Linked DNA regions of Saccharomyces cerevisiae S288C. The gene in region 4 interacts genetically with the main gene of each other region. Each region holds a gene or a part of one and is shown on either strand. Other genes may lie near its edges. The genes, in order: RAD9, RTT103, CKB2 and DUN1.

Evidence for each region.
Region 1: mutations in DUN1 (region 4) and RAD9 together harm fitness more than expected from each alone (negative genetic interaction), as found in Saccharomyces cerevisiae (8 studies listed by BioGRID, with this or other methods).
Region 2: mutations in DUN1 (region 4) and RTT103 together harm fitness more than expected from each alone (negative genetic interaction), as found in Saccharomyces cerevisiae (5 studies listed by BioGRID, with this or other methods).
Region 3: mutations in DUN1 (region 4) and CKB2 together harm fitness more than expected from each alone (negative genetic interaction), as found in Saccharomyces cerevisiae (7 studies listed by BioGRID, with this or other methods).

What each region holds. Positions count from the first base shown.
Region 1 is NC_001136.10:895,353-905,102, reverse strand, and holds RAD9 (chromatin-binding protein RAD9), read left to right. Parts: upstream 1-1,622; coding exon 1,623-5,552; downstream 5,553-9,750. Other genes in the region: septin SPR28, read left to right, coding at 51-1,322; DNA-binding transcription factor ADR1, read right to left, coding at 6,097-9,750. UniProt on the Saccharomyces cerevisiae protein: Essential for cell cycle arrest at the G2 stage following DNA damage by X-irradiation or inactivation of DNA ligase.
Region 2 is NC_001136.10:1,036,103-1,043,469, reverse strand, and holds RTT103 (Rtt103p), read left to right. Parts: upstream 1-3,960; coding exon 3,961-5,190; downstream 5,191-7,367. Other genes in the region: SRP101 (signal recognition particle receptor subunit alpha), read left to right, coding at 1-324; HRQ1 (ATP-dependent 3'-5' DNA helicase), read right to left, coding at 509-3,742; Smc5-Smc6 complex subunit NSE3, read right to left, coding at 5,364-6,275; inositol monophosphate 1-phosphatase INM2, read right to left, coding at 6,597-7,367. UniProt on the Saccharomyces cerevisiae protein: Involved in transcription termination by RNA polymerase II and in regulation of Ty1 transposition.
Region 3 is NC_001147.6:403,973-407,044, reverse strand, and holds CKB2 (casein kinase 2 regulatory subunit CKB2), read right to left. Parts: upstream 1,278-3,072; coding exon 501-1,277; downstream 1-500. Other genes in the region: HIR2 (Hir2p), read left to right, coding at 1,657-3,072. UniProt on the Saccharomyces cerevisiae protein: Regulatory subunit of casein kinase II/CK2.
Region 4 is NC_001136.10:279,807-283,388, reverse strand, and holds DUN1 (serine/threonine protein kinase DUN1), read left to right. Parts: upstream 1-1,540; coding exon 1,541-3,082; downstream 3,083-3,582. Other genes in the region: guanine nucleotide exchange factor GET3, read left to right, coding at 213-1,277; DNA-directed DNA polymerase delta POL3, read right to left, coding at 3,224-3,582. UniProt on the Saccharomyces cerevisiae protein: Transducer of the DNA damage signal. Phosphorylates SML1 on serine residues. Cooperates with the PAN deadenylation complex in the regulation of RAD5 mRNA levels and cell survival in response to replicational stress.

The DNA.
Region 1 (9,750 bases), 620 kb from region 4:
CGATACAAAAAAAGAGCTACTATACGTACATAAAGTCAGTAAATAATCAAATGTTCCCAATGAAAGATCACTCAGCTCTTGAACAACATACTCTCAGCAGAGATGAGTTAAGACGTCGCAAGGGTTACAAGAAAGGACTGCAGTTGTCAATTTTGTTACTTGGAGAAAAAGGCAGCGGCAAATCAACGTTTTTAAACAATCTGTGCGGTCAGGATATATCGCTTTCTGATGGGGATTATGATGATGATGATGATAAAGTGACAAATAATGTAACACCAGAAAATGGAAACGCCATCGAAGATATAGATCCTGGATATAAAACAGCCCATTTGAGTCCTGGGCTGAAGCTTGTCACCAGAAGAGTGTATTTGAACGATGAACTAGGCGTACCCATAACATTAGATATCATATTGTTTCCAGGCTGCGGTGACAATGTCGACAATTCACAAAGCTCTGTTGTTATAAAAAACTACTTAGACCAACAGTTTGCAAATGTTTTAAAAGAAGAGGTCAGAATAAAGAGAAACACAAAAGAAACTGATGGGAGGCCTCATGTTTGTTTATACTTTCTGAAGAGTACTCCAAGAGGAGTCAAAAAATTTGATATTGAGTTAATGAAAACGATTTGTGATAAAGTTAATTTAATTCCCATTATTCCAAAAGCCGATGGTCTCACAGAAACTGAATTAAATTTACACAAAGACATTGTGCGCCAAGAAATCTCTCAGAACAATATACGTGTTTTTGATTTTAAAAGTGACACCCTAGGCGAAACATTAGCTCTGTACGATATGGACATCGATTCCAGTTCAGCAAAATCCAAATACGATAATGACACGAAGATCAAGGAAATATCGCCATTTGCCATTGTTTGCAGCAAAACTTTTAATAAAAATTCGGAAAATAGGGTTGAGCATATCAGAACGTACGAATGGGGTAGCTTGGTGGTCGAAGACCAAAACACCTCCGATTTTATATACTTAAAAGCAATACTGTTAGGTTCTCACCTTCAGGAATTAAAAGATGTAACAAACAACGTATTGTATGAAAATTATAGGGCTAAAGTGTTAACTGAGAAGAAAAACAACTATGATATTCCAAACTATAGCTATATCGACGAAACCTCAAGGGGAAGTGTCAGCAATGTTTCCACCAGAAGAAATAGTGCAAGTAGAACACTTGGGAATCCAGATACAAACGATGAAAATGCTTATCAAATACACAAAGAAATAGACGAAAAAAACAGAATTATTGAAGACTATCAAAGGAAGATTGATTTATTGGAGAAAATGTTGGCAGCTCCCCATCAAAATAAGGTCTAAATAAATATACGGCCTTGTTAGCGTTAGATACATATGAAATAAAATTTTATTGCTTTTTCAAGTGCACTAAAGTATAAGGCAAAATTTTTTTAATCTATAATATACTTTCTCGATGTGTCTCTATATAACCTTGTGTCTTTCTTATTACTGGCACGGCTTTGAATTTTCAGAGTGCAGTTCTGATTAAACACGCGAGGATTTTTGTTCGTGGATATTTGCAACGATGAGCAATGTGAAGTGAGCAAGATAGAGAAACGCCATAGAAAAGAGCATAGTGAGAAAATCTTCAACATCAGGGCTATGTCAGGCCAGTTAGTTCAATGGAAAAGCTCTCCAGATCGAGTCACCCAAAGCGCTATAAAGGAAGCACTGCATTCTCCCTTGGCTGATGGCGACATGAACGAAATGAATGTTCCCGTTGATCCGTTGGAAAACAAGGTAAATAGCACAAACATAATCGAAGGAAGTCCCAAAGCAAATCCAAATCCTGTCAAGTTTATGAATACAAGTGAGATATTTCAAAAATCTCTGGGATTACTTGACGAGAGTCCAAGACATGATGATGAGTTAAATATTGAAGTAGGAGATAATGATCGACCAAATGCTAACATATTGCATAATGAAAGGACTCCTGACCTTGACCGAATTGCTAACTTTTTCAAAAGCAATCGAACCCCTGGTAAAGAAAATCTTTTGACCAAATATCAAAGCTCCGATCTGGAAGACACTCCTCTGATGTTAAGAAAAAAAATGACTTTTCAAACTCCAACTGATCCATTGGAACAGAAAACCTTCAAAAAGTTGAAGTCAGATACTGGGTTTTGCTATTATGGAGAGCAGAATGATGGAGAAGAAAATGCGTCATTAGAAGTTACAGAGGCGGATGCCACTTTTGTACAGATGGCTGAACGTTCTGCTGATAATTATGACTGTGCATTGGAAGGAATTGTTACACCTAAAAGATATAAAGACGAATTAAGTAAAAGTGGAGGAATGCAAGATGAACGAGTTCAAAAAACTCAAATCATGATATCAGCAGAATCACCTAATTCGATAAGCTCTTATGACAAGAACAAAATTACCGGGAATGGCCGGACCACAAGAAATGTAAACAAGGTTTTTAACAATAACGAAGATAACATAGGAGCTATCGAGGAAAAAAATCCAGTAAAAAAGAAAAGTGAGAACTATTCATCAGATGATCTCAGAGAACGGAACAATCAAATAATACAAAGTAATGAATCAGAGGAGATTAACGAATTGGAAAAGAATCTGAATGTTTCGGGTAGAGAGAATGACGTGAACAATTTAGATATCGATATTAATAGTGCTGTGTCTGGCACCCCTTCACGCAACAATGCGGAAGAAGAAATGTATTCCAGTGAGAGTGTAAACAATCGGGAACCATCCAAGAAGTGGATATTCCGATACTCAAAAGACAAAACGGAAAATAATAGCAATAGATCTACGCAAATAGTCAATAATCCAAGAACACAGGAAATGCCTTTAGATAGTATTTCAATCGATACGCAACCCTTATCTAAAAGTTTCAATACCGAAACAAATAATGAATTAGAGACACAGATAATTGTTTCATCGCTTTCCCAAGGCATATCTGCTCAGAAGGGACCTGTTTTTCATTCTACTGGCCAGACAGAAGAAATAAAAACCCAAATAATAAATTCTCCTGAACAAAATGCTTTGAATGCAACCTTTGAAACTCCCGTTACTCTTTCTCGGATTAATTTTGAACCCATATTGGAAGTTCCTGAGACTAGTTCACCATCTAAGAATACGATGTCAAAACCCTCGAATTCTTCACCTATTCCGAAGGAAAAAGATACATTTAATATACACGAGAGAGAAGTAGAGACAAACAATGTTTTTTCAAACGATATACAAAATTCTTCAAATGCAGCTACCAGAGATGACATTATCATAGCCGGTTCATCTGATTTCAACGAACAAAAGGAAATAACCGATAGAATATACTTACAACTTTCAGGAAAGCAAATATCTGATTCAGGAAGTGATGAAACAGAACGTATGTCCCCAAATGAGCTTGATACGAAAAAGGAAAGTACAATCATGAGCGAGGTTGAACTAACCCAAGAACTGCCTGAAGTTGAAGAGCAGCAAGATCTTCAAACGTCTCCAAAAAAGCTGGTAGTCGAGGAAGAAACTTTAATGGAGATAAAAAAAAGCAAGGGGAACTCACTTCAGCTTCATGATGATAATAAAGAATGCAATTCAGATAAACAAGATGGCACAGAGTCTTTGGATGTAGCTTTGATTGAACACGAAAGCAAAGGACAGAGCTCAGAACTTCAGAAAAACCTCATGCAATTATTTCCAAGTGAGTCACAGGAGATTATTCAGAACCGAAGAACAATAAAGCGACGTCAAAAAGATACAATAGAGATCGGTGAAGAGGAGGAGAACAGAAGCACTAAGACATCACCGACAAAACACCTCAAAAGAAATTCAGATTTGGATGCTGCTTCTATCAAAAGGGAACCGTCTTGCAGCATTACCATACAAACAGGGGAGACAGGTTCGGGCAAAGACTCTAAAGAACAGTCTTACGTGTTTCCTGAAGGTATTAGAACGGCAGATAATAGTTTCTTATCGAAAGACGACATAATTTTTGGAAATGCGGTATGGTGTCAGTATACGTGGAATTACAAATTTTATCCGGGTATTTTATTGGAAGTTGACACTAATCAAGATGGCTGTTGGATTTATTTCGAAACAGGAAGATCGCTAACCAAAGATGAGGACATCTACTACTTAGATATTAGAATAGGGGATGCTGTTACCTTTGATGGAAATGAGTACGTAGTCGTTGGTCTAGAATGTCGTAGCCATGATCTCAACATAATAAGATGTATTCGAGGATATGATACGGTTCATTTGAAAAAAAAAAATGCAAGCGGATTGTTGGGGAAAAGGACGTTAATTAAAGCACTAAGCTCGATCAGTCTTGACCTAAGCGAGTGGGCTAAAAGAGCGAAGATCATATTAGAAGATAATGAGAAAAATAAAGGCGACGCGTATAGGTACTTGAGACATCCCATTAGGGGAAGGAAATCAATGACCAATGTTCTGTCTCCGAAGAAACATACTGATGACGAAAAGGACATAAATACGCATACTGAAGTGTACAATAACGAAATAGAATCGAGCTCCGAAAAGAAGGAAATTGTTAAAAAGGATTCTAGAGACGCATTAGCTGAACATGCAGGAGCGCCAAGCCTGCTTTTTTCTTCTGGTGAAATCAGAACAGGGAATGTATTTGATAAATGTATTTTTGTTTTGACAAGCCTATTCGAAAATAGAGAGGAACTTCGACAGACCATTGAATCGCAAGGCGGCACTGTAATTGAGTCAGGATTTTCCACTTTATTTAACTTCACTCATCCGCTAGCTAAATCTTTAGTCAATAAAGGTAATACAGATAATATTCGAGAATTGGCCTTGAAGCTAGCCTGGAAACCTCATTCCCTATTTGCAGACTGCAGATTTGCTTGCCTAATCACAAAACGGCATTTAAGAAGCTTAAAGTACTTAGAAACTTTGGCGTTGGGGTGGCCTACACTACACTGGAAATTCATAAGTGCATGCATTGAAAAGAAAAGAATAGTACCACATTTAATATACCAATACCTATTACCTTCGGGTGAAAGTTTTCGGTTATCGTTAGATTCTCCATCAAAGGGAGGAATCATTAAATCCAACAATATTTTTTCATTTTATACACAATTCTTACGCGGATCTAATTTAAGAGATCAGATATGTGGAGTGAAGAAAATGTTAAATGACTACATTGTTATTGTTTGGGGTAGATCTGAGTTGGACAGTTTTGTCAAATTTGCTTTTGCATGTTTGAGCGCAGGTAGAATGCTTACAATTGATTTACCCAATATTGATGTAGATGATACAGAGCCATTGTTAAATGCCTTAGATTCTTTAGTACCCAGAATAGGATCAGAATTATCTAATCGAAAGTTAAAGTTTCTCATATATGCTAACGAAAATAATGGTAAATCTCAGATGAAGCTTCTCGAAAGATTGAGAAGTCAAATATCACTGAAATTTAAGAAATTTAATTACATATTTCACACTGAATCTAAAGAATGGCTAATTCAGACAATAATTAACGAGGACACTGGTTTTCACGATGATATTACGGACAATGATATATACAACACTATTTCTGAGGTTAGATGAAATTATAAAAATATATAAACTCATAATTGATAGAAAGGGACGATTAAATAAAAAAAAATTTAGAGATTCTTAATTAAGTCTAAGAACATCCTCCCACACGCCAGGAGTGGTTAATGTTCAAGATTGGTATTAGTTATACACGGTAACCAACAACGTTGGTAAGGTCTTTTTCTTCTATACATGAATTTTAAGATCAAGCATATATTTTAGGCTTGCATCTTGTAATGAACTAACTTTCATAAATAGCTTTTCTTTTTTGTATGAGGTATAAGATGAAAAATGTTAAACATGATACAGGATTTAATATAAAATGGACCAAAATAAGGAGCAATAACGAGATTCACCCCAATGGGTGAGATGAGAAACGCCAAGGTAGTGAAATATTTTTGTGCAACAATTTCAAAGATAAGATCGGTGTTCTCCCGCAGTAGTCCACTTCAGTCGCATGCATGGCTGTTTGATGAGAAATAAAATGAGATATTCAAAATCTCATCAGAAAGAGTTGAGTACTGGGACGACACATATCAGCAACGAGACATAATCGTCAACTGTTTCCCTTTAGATGATTTTCCAAAGTGTGGAAATCACTTGCCATCTTATCTAACATGTGACAATGAATGTAGTTTTCTTTAACATTGGTGAAAAATAACTTGGCAATAGTAACATATTTCAGAGATAATTGGTACTTTTCGGCAAATCCTTGCCCCTTTCCACCATTTTTATGTTTTGATGAATGATTTTCCCCGTAACGTAAAAGATTCAAAGTAGAAACAGTTTGATGCGAATCATTTAAGCCGCTGAAGTTAATACCTTCTAGGCCGGTATCCGATAGGAAATGTGCTGAACGAGGCAAGTCTGTCACTGCCCTGTCCCCATTATCAAAGGAAAATTCATTTCGAATAGGATCCTCCATATTCAAAAAAGAGGTATCGTTAAAAGAGTTAACTAGGATTTCATTAATAAACATTGCAAGCCCTTCAACATTGATCTTTTTGGCTAACTTAGTCTTAACAGCTGCACTTGCACCATTATGGTGTTCATTTGCGGATAAACCAGGGACAAGCATACCATTATCTTTATTTATAAATTGTTGCGTAAATACAACATCAGGAAATCCAGAAAACTCTTGCGGATACAATCTTGAAAGTGTGGGAAGTAAAATAGAATTCGCAAGGCTTCTCAACTCAATAAAAATTCTCAGTAACTTAAAATTTGGAGTTGCTTCAAAATCCAATAAAAATTTGATAATTAGGATGAAGCAATAGTAATAGCCTTGTAAATTGAAGACAGAAAGCGCTTGATTATTCAGGTGGATCCTTGGCAGCTCTGGAGAATTCATTCTTTGGGAGCAATCACTTTCTTCTTCTACGTATAAAGACGAAATATTACGGATTGAAAAGTTCAACGCTACTAAAAATTCACACAATACTTCAACTGAATAATTCTTCAAAAAATTCAACCTCACAGAGTTCAAAAAGGAATCATATATCTTTGCTATTTGTCCTTTTCTAACCTTCTCAGTAAACGAGCGATCAATCTGTTTGATGAATCTCATTGACATTAAATTATTTTTCAAAATTATGGTGTCATCAATTAAGATCGCAATATTTTTATTGGTTGCTGCCATATTATCATTGCCATAGGAAGAAGTGTCAAGACTCCTCTCTAGCCTTTTCGTATCGATTCGATCCAAAAACACATGTGATTTGGTTCCTTTTCTTAAATCGTATTCATAATAAATCATAGATGACCCTAAAAATTCTGGTATTGAGTGTAAGTGTCCATACGTGAAACTGTAATAAAAGTTTCTAAAATCATAAAAATTTTGCTTTTGCACAACATGCCCATTACATATTATCGATTCACTGGCCCATTTTGACTCATTGTCGGGAATATAAATGGTTTCAACATCTTTTTCCTTTATAGACAAATCGAATTTAATATGGAAGAAACATTTCAAGAACTGACAAAAATCATAAGCCATTAAGGTGCATCTAATTTTTGACTCAAAAATGATGTATTGAAGAGGAGAACCAAATGTTAAAGGTTCATTGTTATTATTGATACTCTTCTCAGAATTTGCAGAAATTGTCGGTAAACAGTTTGATCTGATCGTTGAACATAATGCGGACAATTGCCTTTTCATCAAAGAGGAGTCAATTTTCTCCAAATAATCAGCAACTAGAGCGAACATGAAGCTCAATATTAGGGATTGCATCAACCAAATGTTCTGATAACTGTCATTTACTGTTGTACTGCGACACCTTCTTTTAGTCTCCAAAAAAGAATGTAGAATTCTTCTACTCATCTCATACAATTCTATTGTTTGAGATTTGTAACCGAACTTATGCAAAGAACCAAATGTGGCCATAAATAAGGGTAAACAAACGATTTTCGAAATGGACAAGATTTGATAGTGCTCGTAATCATATTCTTTATCTGTCCCTTGACTTAATCGATCAAACAACTGCGCGTTTTCAGCGTCATCATACCCATCCTCATTAGTATATCGTTGCAAGCTATCCAAATCCAAATCAAGCAAGCTTGGGTGAATAATAGGGAAATGGGGAAGGAAATTATTCTTGAAAAGATCTAAATATTCGTTCAATTCACTCACAGCTGGCATTAACAATTCTTTGGACAGCAAGTTTGGATTAGAGTCCATGACACTCTCACTACTATCATGACTGAACTTTTCATAGTATCTAAGCACTTTAATGCACATATTTCTCATTGGTTCATTAAATAGCTTTGATTCTATGGAATGCGATGGCTGATTGTTGTTCACAGTGGAGGCCGGCAGAGCTCTTGATATTTTCGATAACGTTAAACAATCTAACCCATAAAAAGTATAGTTGCCGCTATCTGGCTTTTCTTTCCTGTTTGACGTTGATAAAAAGTCTTCCAGGGATCGTTTAGACTCTTCTCCTTTCAAATATTGACTGAATATGGCTTGAACATCTCTGGTCATATTACATAGCTTATCCAGATCATCTTCGCGATTGGAAGGATGATCGAGTCCGAAAGAAATCAACATATCGTCATTGGTCCCCTCTTTATTCTTATAAATTAACTTATGAGGAGAAATTGGAGAGTTTGATAGGTTCAAATGGGAAAGGTCAATCTCATTTGACGTGGCGGTAGCACTTACGCTATCATCATGTAAAAGTTCAAATTCTTTTAAAACGGCAGTGGTCTCTAACAAATCATTACCTAAAGTATCATTATCCAGCAGTTCTTGAAAATCGACGAAATCAGGTTGGTTGTCTGATACCTTATTGTTATTGCTATTATTATCTATAGCAACAGTCCAAGAGGAGGACCTTGAATCCTTCAAATGATGTATAGTCGATTTAAAATCTGGGACGATTAATTTAGTGTCGTTTAATTCAGAGTTCATTGGAGAAGTTTCATCACTTTCAGATACTGAAAACAAATGATCATTATAGGCTTTTATCCAGTACGACGACGACAATAAGTCTGCGTCATTAAATGAAGCGTTCTTAGAATTCGTGTTAGCGCCGACATATGCGCGGGTTGGTGAGCCGGAAGAATATGTGTAGTTATTTGCTGATTCGGGCAATTTATAATCCAAATTCATTGTTGATCCAGAAGAATCAGAACGGTTTAATGCTATATTGAAATTGGAATCTAGATTTAGGTTTAAATCTAGATTCATATTCAGGTCAAACGAAGAGTCAAGTTCAGGATTCTTCAAGTCAAGTGGAACTAATTCAGGCGTAGAAAATTTAACACGATCCTTTGGATGTTGTTCTAGCGAAGATTGGTCGGGCAAAGCATAGCTGGATGCTGATTGTGCGCTAAATGAAGCCCTGCGCGTCAGTTTTTTCAAGTACTTACGTTTAACATTAGCTTCAGGGCTTGCTTTTCTTCTTGTATTGGCAGTAGTGCGATTCAAAAAATTACCATTATCTGGAGTACCATAGGTTGGAGTTTGAAACTTGACTGAGGATGCAGAATTTTTCCGAGCTTTAGTTATAGTTCTCGACACTTTCTTGGTATGGGAAATCGTTTCCCCTAAATTACCACTATGGATTTTTTGAGCATGCCTGATCAGTAAGTCCCTCCTAGTAAAGCATCTGTTGCAGAGGCCACAGGGATAAGGTTTTTCATTTGTATGCGATCTGTAATGTCTTTTCAAGTGCTCTTGTCTTGCGAACGCTCTCGTACAAACCTC
Region 2 (7,367 bases), 760 kb from region 4:
AGGCATAATGATCCTACTTTAATGTCGCCATTGAAGTCTTTCGCTGACCAAGCCAAGCCAGATAAAATCATTATGGTTGGAGAGGCTTTAGTAGGTACTGATTCTGTCCAGCAAGCCAAAAATTTTAATGATGCCTTCGGAAAGGGAAGAAATCTTGACTTCTTTATTATCTCCAAGTGTGACACAGTTGGTGAAATGCTGGGTACTATGGTAAATATGGTTTATGCTACGGGGATTCCTATCTTATTCGTTGGCGTGGGACAAACCTATACCGATTTGAGGACATTAAGCGTAAAATGGGCTGTTAATACATTAATGTCTTAAAAACTGTAATATCATAGTATATATATATATACCACAGACAATGTTATTCAACAATAATAAAGTGTCTTTTTTTCTGTGCATCAACAAGGTGACAGAATGTTGATGTAACTTCTTTCCACCAAGTGAATCTACAAGTAGTAGAATAGAGTATTTATATTCGGTTTACAAACTACAAATAGCGTGCTCATATCTCTTTTTTAATGATTTCATTTGTATGAGTATCGTCTTTCGTAGCTCTTCTAACGTCAATAATCTTAAAATCATCTGAAAAGTTGACATGCTCTGACACAGGAATAACAGTCTCTACTTTTATCTCTGGCATATTTGGCTCTGGACCATCTTTGATAAGATCTATAAAACTATCTTCCGAGTGACCTAGAATACAATGCAAAACGACTTGGGCGCCAGGTTTCGACAGGACCAGGCTGTTTTCCTTACAAAAAGAAGCCGCTACACAGTCAGGACATCCATCGCTGCATGGGCATTCTTCTATTCTTCTTAAACTAGACTCTATAATATCATCAATATGCTCAAACGCTTTAACACACAAGCCAGACCCGTACTTACCGCCCTTGGAATCATAGAATATTAATCTAGCTGGTCGCTTTCGTTTAGTTTGACGTTCTGCAAATTCCTTTTCCGGAGCTTTGCATTCAGTTTGTATTTCATCCACACCCGCCACTATAAATCGCGGTAACATACCCATAATTGCATGTTGCGCCCCGTGAATAGCTCCTGCTACATTTAATTGCTTCTTTTGGCAAATTTCTAAGGCATATTTTGGCATATCTATCCATAATCCTTTAGAATTGATTATTACAGGAGGGTTATGGGTTTCGATGGCATCGATGATCCTCTTGTACTTGTCTACTTTAAAAAAGCCAAATACAATAATTGTAGTCTTGATCTTACCAAAGTAAACAGGAACATCACTATTCCTTAAAGAGCGTATAAGTTCAATTTCCTGTGGATCTACATCTGTAAAGTCTCTTTGGTTGGTTACCCAGTCAACATCTACTCTTTGCACTTTAGCATATCTTTCATCAGGATTAAACTCCTTCACAAGGTAGGGATAGCCTTGGTGAATGAATATACCGCCATCATATAAAGTAAAACTAGTCCTGGATGCTTCTATTTCCTCAATTATTATATTTCTTCCATTTGTTATATCCACTACGGCAAATTGATCTTCTTCTCCGCCTCTCAAAGATACACACTTGGACGGCCATGGTAAAAATCTATTACTGGCGTGGTACCCATCTTGATTGTGATGTAAGCGTTCAACACAGATTTTGCGAAGATGAGATTCAGTAAAGTATTGCTTGTCACGTTCAAAATTTATTGGCAGTTCGAAAGCAGCGCATTGTATGTGTCCTTCCAGTATCAAAATGTTATTGAAATCAAGAACCAAATCTTGATAAGATTCGAAATTATTAACCTCCAGCAAGGATTCTGGATGAGCAACATAATGTTGATCAACAGGCGAGTCACTTGCAACCACGAGGGTTAAAGAATCATTATTTCTTCTTCCAGCTCTACCACTTTGTTGATGAAAATTCGCCATTGATAGTGGGAAACCGCACATCAAGACTGCGTCTAGTCCACCGATATCAATACCAAGTTCTAGAGCATTGGTAGATATGACAGCCTTTAAATTTCCGTGAAACATCTCACGTTCTATTTTACGTCTGTCGGAAGCAGAATAACCACCCCTGTAAGACATGACTTCTGTAACCAGATCCTCACGCCCAGTTTCAATAAAAATATTGCGAACTTCTTTCATCAACAATTCACAAACACGACGAACGTAGCAAAATGCTATGGTTCTTACGTTGTTCAATATCAATTGTACCAATATCTTTGCACTCTCTCTAATGAAATTTTCTCGTTTACGTTCGTGTTGAGGTAAAATTGGAGGATTCCACACCACTAGATGCTTAGCACCTGTAGGTGAGCCATCCTCGTGTATTAGCGTAACCTCATTAATTCCAAACATGTCCTTCATATGTTGTACTGGAGACTTTAAAGTTGCAGAACATGAAATAAATTGTAAACCACTATTTTCGTAAAAACAGTGGCACAGTCTTAGTAAACGTCTCATCACTAATGCCACGTGCGATCCAAATAAACCCTTATATATATGCAATTCATCGACCACCACTAACTTTAGATGGTACAAAAAATGTCTCCAATTTGCATGATTAGGTAAAATGCTGGTATGTATCATGTCAGGATTGGTAAAAATAACTCTAGCATTTTTACGAATATAAGCTCTTTCCTCTGGCTCCGTATCGCCGTCATACGTATCAACCACGGCATTCTTTAGCTCGGGGATCTTTGAAAGTATTACCTTGAATGCTCTTTTTTGATCTTGTGCCAGGGCCTTTGTTGGAAATATATACATAAACGTTGATTCAGGATCCTTTAAAAGAAGATCGATAGCTGCTAGTTGGTAAATAAGGGATTTACCTGAAGAGGTCGATGTTGTAATAATGACGTTTTCGCCTTGATGAAGACTGTTTATCGCATCTGCTTGATGGCTGTAGAAATTTTCGTGTTCCATACCCTGATATACTTCCGGTGCAAGCTCAAAACAGAGACCTTTATACTTCGCTGTTCTTGATGGTATTGTAAAACAATGCTTTATCTGAGAAGCGTAGAATTCAGTACTTTTTAATTTCTCAATCATTTGAGGAATTGTTGTTATCACTGAATTATTGGAATAATTGGGAATGCTCATCTCATTACTTTCTTGCTTCGCCTTCATCATTGCCTCAATAGGATCCTCATAATCTCTCTCCCTTGGAATATATTTCTGCGCTAGATTTGTTAACTCAGAAAATGGGTCAAGGTTAGCCTTTTCCTTTTCCAGGATAAATTCCCGTAGTCTGGATTTAAAGAGAGCTTCCCTTTTAGAAATCATCTTTTTCATTTCCTCCGTAGTATATGTTGGTATCTTTATTTGAGAAAATCTATCACTTGCAGACCATGAGCGTTGCATTGTACCGTCTATAAATTCAAATATAAGTAACTGAGTAGATTTTTGAGTCTGATTTTGGTCATCAACGTCCTTCAGTTCAAATATGTCATTTTCCTTCTGCTGAAAGCCGCCATTATTGAAGTCAAAAATCTTAGTTTCAGTATAAATTTGGTTCTCATCAATATACTTGAAAACACATTCTCTTGGCATTAGCGCCATAACCATGGCTAGGTCTTCTTTCGTCACAGTTCTTTTCAAAGCAGTTTCTATAGGTCCACAAAGTGTTTTAAATGTAGGCACAACATGCTTTCTGCAAATCAAAAAGGTGTAAAGAGTATTAAGGCGGAAAAAAAATTGTTCAAAATTTCTAAAGGCATCGGTCTTTCCACTCCCTTGACCTGCTGACTTCAGTTTCTTTTTGATAGGTCCTTCCTCCATTTTTCCTTCTCAAATGAACATTTCTTTTCTACGACCTTAACCATCTCAATATGTATAACGGTTCTGTTTTATAACGAAAAATGAAAAAGTTATTTTTTTCCTTTAAAAATATATAAACTTGAAAAGCCAACATAATAATATAAGTACAAGCGAAGAAGGTTTTAACGAAGAGGTAGAAAATTTGAAGAAAGCAATAATCCAAGATTAAAATAGACGGTATGCCTTTCTCTTCTGAGCAATTCACAACCAAATTAAATACGTTGGAAGATTCCCAAGAATCTATTTCCAGTGCCTCAAAGTGGTTGCTTCTACAGTATAGAGATGCTCCCAAAGTGGCAGAAATGTGGAAAGAATACATGTTAAGGCCTAGTGTAAACACAAGAAGGAAGTTATTGGGTCTTTACTTAATGAATCATGTTGTTCAACAGGCTAAAGGTCAAAAAATTATTCAATTTCAAGATTCCTTTGGAAAGGTGGCAGCAGAAGTATTGGGAAGAATTAATCAAGAGTTTCCGAGGGACCTAAAAAAGAAGTTGTCAAGAGTTGTGAATATACTAAAAGAAAGAAATATATTTTCCAAGCAGGTAGTCAATGACATAGAAAGAAGTCTTAAAACCGAGAGCTCACCAGTGGAAGCGTTGGTGTTACCCCAGAAATTGAAAGATTTTGCTAAGGACTATGAAAAATTAGTGAAAATGCACCATAATGTTTGCGCGATGAAAATGAGATTTGACAAATCATCAGATGAATTGGATCCATCCAGCTCAGTTTACGAGGAAAATTTTAAAACAATAAGTAAGATTGGGAACATGGCTAAAGATATAATAAATGAATCAATTCTAAAAAGAGAAAGCGGTATCCATAAACTGCAAAGCACACTGGACGATGAAAAAAGGCATCTAGATGAGGAACAGAATATGTTAAGTGAAATAGAATTCGTTTTATCTGCTAAAGACCCATCCAGATTAAATAAAAACGTTGATGAAGACAATATTATTCCTACGTATGAAGTGGGGGATGGAGATGACGATGACGATGATGGTGATAATGATGATGATGATGATGATGATGATGATGACAAAAATTACGATGATAGATCCAATGACAGCAATTATGGCGTTACTAATATTAGCACCACAGATAAGAAGAATGAAGTTGTAGAAAAGACAGATAGCGAACATAAAAACTCTACTCATAATCCTAGTGACAATCAATTTGGTATGAAACGAACACATGATATGATAGGTCATGATGACGCTAATGACATACCGGAAAAAAAGGTTCATCTTGATTCGAAGACGAGTGAAGATGGTACTTTCAACAGTGAGGATGGACATTATGAGTTAGATATAGAAGGCCACGTCGGCGCCCAAACCGACGAAGGTGTTGAGAATTCCGGAGGGGTTTCTTCTAGTATACAAGACTTGTTAAGTAAGCTTGCAAATTAATATGATGGTTGAGTAAAAAGAAAACAAGGAGATAACTTATACAAATATATAGTAACCCGTTTAAGTCCAGTCTTTTTTCGTAACTATTTGCCCATAGTTTATTTCGTATTCATCTTCACTATTTCCTCGACAAAAAAGATGCGCACCTAAACTACATGGACACCTATGCAATGCTATATAGAATATGAATCGCCAATGCTTTTTATTATATCATCGTGCAAACTTTTAGTCTGCTCCTTTTCAAGGCCCATGATTTCTTGCACCAATTTTTCAAGAGACTCTAGTCCAAGCTCAGCCTGAGTTCTTCTACCTATCCTGTATGATATCACTTCCCCGTCGGTATCGGATTTCTCCTCCAATCTGACTATATATTCGCGCTTTTCTAAACTTTTTATCAAATCTTCAATAGTAATGTTCAGTATAGCAATCTTTGAACCATCGCTTGGAATGCCAAATGTCTCTAGAAATTTGATCAATTCCTGATGTAATATGTTATTCTTAGAGAAGAAAACAATGCATAAAATGACGCTCAAAACACCCTTGTAAACAAGATCTCGATCTGTACTCAACTTGCTTTCTAAGGTATTGGAAGTTCCTGAAGCTATATCGTCACCAATATACTCTCCGGTAACTATTAGCTCTTCATAAGTGTGAGCGCTTTGTAAAATCTTGAAATCGTCAAAATTTTTTGAGTGCGGGACATTGTTTAGCAAGATAAATTTCTGGGCTCTATGTCCCAGTGGCTCAGGCATTGATTTATTTGTATTGCTATTGCTTCCATTACCGCCAGCGTTCATATTATTTTTTGACGGCAATCCTTGTAATTCAAACCCATATACGTTATACAGTATAGCATTTATGTCCATAAACATTTTACTAAAAGACGGTTTTGCTATGTTTTCCTCGCGAGCAGCTTCATGTATAACAGATTGTAACTTGTTTCTTGTTATGATCGAATTTTGAGATTCTCCTCTCGATAAAATATACCTAACCATTTTTCTAGCTACAGGATTCTCTTTAACGATCTTGGCCACGGCTAAATCTTCTGTTAAATCCACATCGCTGTCATTATCTATAGAACTCATGCTAATGAGAAGCTTATGTTTATCGAACAACCTTCCCTTGTAGCATACTGATATAGGACCCCTTCAATCGAAGTTGATAATAAGCGCATTACTCTTCATTGAAATTTTTCTTCACGTATATCGCGCTGTTAAAGGAGAGGGCCGCATGCATGTAATACTTGCTATTCTTGAGTCAGAAGCCCACACTAAGTGACCTGTGAAATCAAGTTGCTGCTTCAAGATATCGTCCTGTACTGGAAAAAAATACTAGTAGGAATTGCGTGAAGTACTATATAAACTTTTCTTAGATGTAGCTTATTTAACGACACCTGAGGGGGGCATTTAGTATTCTAACTCACCCGCAACGTGAGGCCAAAACGATTCTGCAAATCGCTTCTGCTCCATCGACTCACATCCACCTCTAATAGCCAAGTAACATCTTCTGTCTAATGGAATGTTCCATTCTCCACAATTTCCGCCAACCATTATTCCTCCTGCTTCCTCAAGAATACACCAACCGGCACAAACATCCCAAGCCCAGCAGCCACCTTCCCAATAAGCATCAAGCATGCCGCTCGCTACGTAGCATATGTTCATGGCAGCACTTCCTGCACTTCTGAACCCGTGAACAAAGGCGCCGGACTCACTTAGTAAGTTTTTATAAGTATTCATTTTCTTATCAAAGTTTCCTTGGGAACCTTCAGTTCTTTCCGAACCTCCTTCTAAAGCAATTAAGGATTTTTGCAAAATCAATGGCCTTTTTGAAACCTTTATCTCCTGATCATTTAAGAAAGCTCCATTGCCTTTGGAAGCATGGAATAGTTGGTTTAAGTGAGGATTGAAAACCACACCAACAACCGGCTTCCCCATTTCAGCTAAACCTAGAGATGTACAACTATAGGGGTAACCGTGAATAAAATTAGTAGTACCATCGATGGGATCAACAATAAATGTAGGGCCGTTAGTTATTTTCGTGACACCTTTTACATAAGTTTCTTCTCCGATAAATTTGAAACTGGGATACTTGGCCGTTAAATTTTCCTTGATTATAGATTCAATTTGTTTGTCTAAAGCAGTTACCAAATCTACGCCATTTGCTTTATCATCATATGA
Region 3 (3,072 bases), on a different chromosome or scaffold from region 4:
ACCAAAGAATGAGTAAATCTCCTCTTTTCAGTACTTCCAGATTAGTCTTCAAACAGCTTTTGAGTTTTTAAAATATAAACCGCCTCTTAGTTCATAGGCAGTCTCCACGCGATGCCGCCACTTCTCCAATTTCTTGATAAATAAGGATGCTTCCTACATTCAAAGATTTCAAGCTATTCACTAAAATAACACCAATAATTCGTGGGTAACCACATTTGCAAATTGTTGATATATAACAGGCTAACTTCGGAGCACGCTCTTTTATCTGGTTGTATTATTGCCGTAAGGGGCAATAACGGTATATAAAAATTTAATATTAAATAGGAAAAGTAAAATACGAATGGAGGTAGAAAATAGTAATATTCTAGGAAAGAAAATGCTAGGAGAACAAATGATACCTGATTTTCACAATTTTATGACGAAGTTTCTCCATTATTTTCATTTTCGTTTTCAATTTCGCCTAGGATTTCATTTCGAATTTTTTCTTCTTTCTTTAATAGTTAGGTTTTAAAACCACCACTTTTCGTCAAATCAACATCTTTGGATTCAAGTTTCTCAACTAACTTGAGTCGTTGTAGTTCTTGCCACCTTGTCAGTTGAGCTTGTTTATGTAATTCAAATCCAAATATTTTTGGAACATATCTTTTAGTTGGGTGTTTGGGTACCATATCTGGAAATGCTTGCAAAAACATACCTGGAAAACTTGTTCCAAAGTATGCACCATCAATGGAACTATGTCTCGATGATTTTGGTATATAAAGATCCTCACAAGATGGACAATATAACTTGACACAATCTATACCAGGAATGTCATGCAAACCAACCGGTAACAACTGTTGTAAATTACAATACACACGGGGACATCTTCCAAAGTCCGCCTCTTTGTACTTAGCGTACATTTTTTGCAATCCTTTGATAGTTATAATGTAGCGTGCATGGATGAGACCATACAGCTTCCGGGAATCTGATTCTAATTGTTCTAAACGGGCATGTGTCATATTCTCTAGGATACTATCATCCAAATCATCCACAATATATTGTACCACGTAGGAAAATTTTGAAACTGTCTTTTGCAAGTTCATCAGATTAAAACGATCAGTGATGTACTCAGGATCGACATCACAGAAATATTCATGGCCTTTTCTCCCAAGAAATAAATCGATCCACATATCCACGTATTCCGATGAGTCAGAGTCATCATCCATGAGGACATCATCTTGTTCCACTCTGGAGCCTTCTCTAGTCACTGTTCCCACATTCTCCGATCTACTGCCCATGATCTGCTTTTCTATCAGTTCTCTAAGTCCCTTAATCTTGAATAATTTGAAAAAAGCTAGTATTTCTCAAGTAAAAGATTGATGAAAAAATACAGCAGGAAAATTCCACGTATCTGGAATGACCAACTTCTTTAAGAATGTGATTTACTTATTCTATTTGGTGCTTGTTTTCATTTGATAAAGGATTGCCAATACACCTCCATTTATTCGCTTTCATATTTTTTCTTCCTGGAAGGTCGACAAAAAAAAGCGCGAAAAAAATATCAGTTAATTCGGCTAGAATTATGAAGTCTTCATAAAACAATATACAAAAAGTGCTAAATCGTCCATACAGAGGAATACGCCACGCAGCAAAGGAGTTCCTACACAATCCGGAACAATGAGATTATTAAAGTATCCTTTGGATATTCATAATGAACAAGTGAATGCCTTAGCTGCCCTTGGTCCCTATATCATATTGGCAGGCAGTGGGGGTCACGTGATGGCGTGGAGACAACAACAACTAGTCGATACTGCATTCGATAGGGTTATGATTAAGGATTTAAAGCCAGAAGTTTCTTTCCAGGTGGATCAGGATACTACCGGTGATATTTTTTTCATAACAGGTGATCTCGAAACATTGTATATTGGATCTGAACATCGTCTGTGGGGTTATTCAGGTTGGCTCTGTAGAGATACAAATAACATCAATTCTGTCGAAAAAATGAACAGTAAGCTTCTGTTCGAGTGTAAATCTCCAAGCACAATAACGGATGTGAAATATGACATAAACTTAGGTATCTTATTTGTTCTTTTAAGTAATGAAAATAAGATACTATTATTTCGGCATAAAACCTTTGATAAACTCTCTGAAATAACTATTGACAAGGCGAGCAAACCTATTACAGGCATAATAGATCCTACTGGCCAAACTTTTACTGTTATGACTTCAGATAGATCAATTTTAGTCTATCAAATTAACAAAACGGGTACACACAAACTCATAAATAAACTTACGCAGCATGTACAAATGTATCCATTACATTATAGAATCTCAATGTCACCTCAGGCAGACATTTTACCAGTGATAAACTCGGTGAAAGGTGTGCCGAATAATGCTACCAGCTGTACCGCTTTACTTGACAGAAATAACAACTACAAAGTTACAAAAACACTGGTAACACCTTCTTCAAATGGATGTAGAGTTCTTGTTTATTCTCCAGCATTTTATGAAAAGCCTAATTTGAAAAAGGGCACCAGCACACGCTATAATTTAATCGCCACTTCGGGATCTACAGACGGTACTATTTTGGTTTGGAATACGAAGAGAATGAAACCTTTGTTTAATGCTCTCCAGGTTTCCTCCACCGCAATAAACGATATGTCTTGGTCACAGGATGGGTTCACCTTGTTTGCCATTTCAAACGACGCGACATTGTATACATTCGCATTCCAAGAGAAGGATTTAGGTGTAGCATTGCCTCAAACGGAAATCAAATCGTTACAAGAAGTAAACAAAAAGCTTCCAAAGCTTGAAGAGCCGTTAGCAGAACAAATACCGAAAAGTTTCCCAGAAAACATCAAATTAGAAGAATCTGCAAGCGCAGCACCTATTCCAAACGATATTGGTAGATCTGCCGTGGGCAAGAAACCGACCAAAAAAAAAACGGCTAACAATCAAACTAATGGCATCAAAACTATCCAGAGCACATCAATGGAATTCAACACTCCATCATACACTGTGCCAAGGGATTTGAAGAGAAAGCCAAAAGAGGCAACTCCAAGTAACATTGCCCCTGGCAGCAAAAAGCAGAAA
Region 4 (3,582 bases):
GGTTGGTTCAATGCAAATTATTACATCCCTTTTTTATCACAAGATCTTCGTAACAATAGTACTAATTAATAGTGCTGGGGATTCTCAACCATTTTTTTTTTTTCAAAAGCGAAAATGGATAAAACGGTGGCAACTTCAAACAAGTTGAGGGAAGCCAACGCAGCGTTTAGGAAAACGTACGACAAGAACAAGAAGATCATCACATTGTAATTATGGATTTAACCGTGGAACCTAATTTGCACTCTTTAATTACCTCTACCACTCATAAGTGGATTTTCGTTGGTGGTAAAGGTGGTGTTGGTAAGACTACTTCATCATGTTCCATTGCTATCCAAATGGCTTTGAGTCAACCAAACAAACAGTTCCTACTGATCTCTACTGATCCTGCCCATAACTTAAGTGATGCATTCGGTGAGAAATTTGGTAAAGACGCCAGAAAGGTGACAGGCATGAATAATCTATCATGTATGGAAATCGATCCATCCGCTGCTTTGAAGGATATGAACGACATGGCAGTTTCACGCGCTAACAATAACGGAAGTGACGGTCAAGGTGACGATCTAGGAAGCTTGCTTCAAGGTGGTGCTCTTGCTGATTTGACCGGTTCCATCCCTGGTATCGACGAAGCTTTATCCTTCATGGAAGTCATGAAGCACATTAAAAGGCAAGAACAGGGCGAAGGTGAAACCTTCGATACTGTTATTTTTGACACTGCTCCAACTGGCCACACATTAAGATTTCTACAACTACCAAATACTTTATCCAAGCTTTTGGAAAAGTTCGGTGAAATTACCAACAAATTGGGCCCAATGCTAAACTCTTTTATGGGCGCAGGTAATGTCGATATCTCTGGAAAATTGAACGAGTTAAAGGCTAATGTCGAGACCATCAGACAACAATTCACGGATCCTGACCTAACGACTTTTGTTTGCGTTTGTATCAGTGAATTCTTATCCTTATATGAAACTGAAAGACTAATTCAGGAATTGATTTCCTACGATATGGACGTTAATTCCATCATTGTCAACCAATTATTATTTGCTGAAAACGATCAAGAGCACAACTGTAAGAGATGTCAGGCAAGATGGAAGATGCAAAAGAAGTACTTGGACCAAATCGACGAATTGTACGAAGATTTCCATGTCGTTAAAATGCCATTATGTGCTGGAGAAATCAGAGGCTTAAATAACTTAACAAAGTTCTCACAGTTCCTAAACAAAGAATATAACCCTATTACTGATGGCAAAGTCATTTATGAGTTAGAAGATAAGGAATAGAAGCCCCTGAATACCATAAATAGATACATACGACATATAACCATAGAAAAAATAGTAATACGATGGTATGTGTGTGAAAAGAAAAAAATTACGTGACGCGACGCGTTTGTTTACTTTTTTCCATTTTATTTCCATGGTATTTTTCAAATGATTTTGGAAAATTATTAGATATTGTTGAAAAAGGAGGAAATGAGAACCCTTTATAGTCGAGAGTAACAAGTAAAGGGGCTTAACATACAGTAAAAAAGGCAATTATAGTGAAGATGAGTTTGTCCACGAAAAGAGAGCACTCTGGTGATGTAACTGACTCTTCATTCAAAAGACAGCAACGAAGTAATAAGCCCAGCTCAGAATACACTTGTCTGGGCCATCTGGTGAACTTAATACCCGGAAAGGAGCAAAAAGTGGAAATAACAAATAGAAACGTTACTACAATCGGTAGAAGTAGGTCGTGCGACGTTATATTGAGTGAGCCTGACATCTCGACTTTCCATGCTGAGTTTCATCTACTGCAAATGGATGTGGATAATTTCCAAAGAAATTTGATTAATGTTATCGATAAGAGCAGAAACGGAACTTTTATTAATGGTAATCGTTTGGTGAAGAAAGACTACATCCTTAAGAATGGTGACAGAATTGTCTTTGGCAAAAGTTGCTCCTTTTTGTTCAAGTACGCATCTTCATCTTCTACTGACATCGAAAATGACGATGAAAAGGTAAGTTCAGAAAGTCGTTCATATAAGAACGACGACGAAGTTTTCAAGAAACCGCAAATAAGTGCTACAAGTAGCCAAAATGCTACAACGAGTGCCGCAATTAGAAAACTGAATAAGACAAGGCCTGTGTCGTTCTTTGATAAATATTTATTAGGTAAAGAATTAGGTGCAGGGCACTACGCCCTGGTGAAAGAAGCCAAAAACAAAAAAACTGGTCAGCAAGTAGCTGTGAAAATATTCCACGCTCAGCAAAATGACGACCAAAAAAAGAATAAACAATTTAGGGAGGAAACTAACATCCTAATGAGAGTGCAACATCCAAACATTGTCAACTTACTAGATAGTTTTGTAGAGCCAATCAGCAAATCTCAGATTCAAAAATATTTGGTACTGGAAAAGATCGACGATGGCGAACTATTTGAAAGAATCGTCAGAAAAACATGTTTGAGACAGGATGAATCCAAAGCTCTATTCAAACAGTTACTTACCGGATTGAAGTATCTGCATGAGCAAAACATCATTCACAGAGACATCAAGCCAGAAAATATCTTATTAAATATAACAAGGCGCGAAAATCCAAGTCAAGTCCAACTTGGCCCATGGGATGAAGATGAAATTGATATTCAAGTTAAAATAGCGGATTTTGGCCTAGCAAAATTTACAGGAGAAATGCAATTCACAAACACACTTTGTGGTACGCCTTCTTATGTAGCGCCCGAAGTCCTCACAAAGAAAGGATACACATCAAAAGTAGATCTTTGGAGTGCTGGTGTCATATTATATGTCTGTTTATGTGGTTTTCCTCCATTCAGTGATCAATTGGGGCCACCTTCATTGAAGGAACAGATCTTACAAGCTAAGTATGCGTTTTACTCTCCGTACTGGGATAAAATCGATGACTCAGTACTACATTTAATATCCAATCTTTTGGTCCTAAATCCTGATGAAAGGTACAATATAGATGAAGCTTTGAACCACCCTTGGTTCAATGACATACAGCAACAAAGCTCGGTCTCATTAGAATTGCAGCGTTTACAAATTACTGACAATAAAATACCCAAAACATACTCAGAATTATCTTGCCTCTAAACATGAGAAGCATTATTTCAAAAACATTGTTTGAATCTGGATTTTTCCAAGTATCTATTTATATATACATATATATCCACCAACATGCAAAAAGTTGTTAGCCTTTCTTAATCCTAATATGATGTGCCACCCTATCGTTTTTTACCATTTGCTTAATTGTTCTACTTTCTCCTGCAGCTCTTTTTTAACCTTAACCCGCATATAAAAAATGTCACAGTTCTTATTTGAACACAAAACTTCACTATGTAAGTTACCAGCGCACCTTTGGCATTGTGTCCATAATCTTGAGTATTTTTCCTCTAAATCTCTGACATCGTATAATGCCTTTATGTATAATTCTCCAGACCTTGCTAGACAGTTTGAACAAAGAGGGCCTTCACCTTTCCTCAACGGACCTTTACAACTTTTACAAGCCTCAACTTTTTTAATAAAGCTCATCAAGCCTCCTTTTTGAGAGCCTGTGTTAATTTTAATGGATTTCACAACGAACATACCGTTCG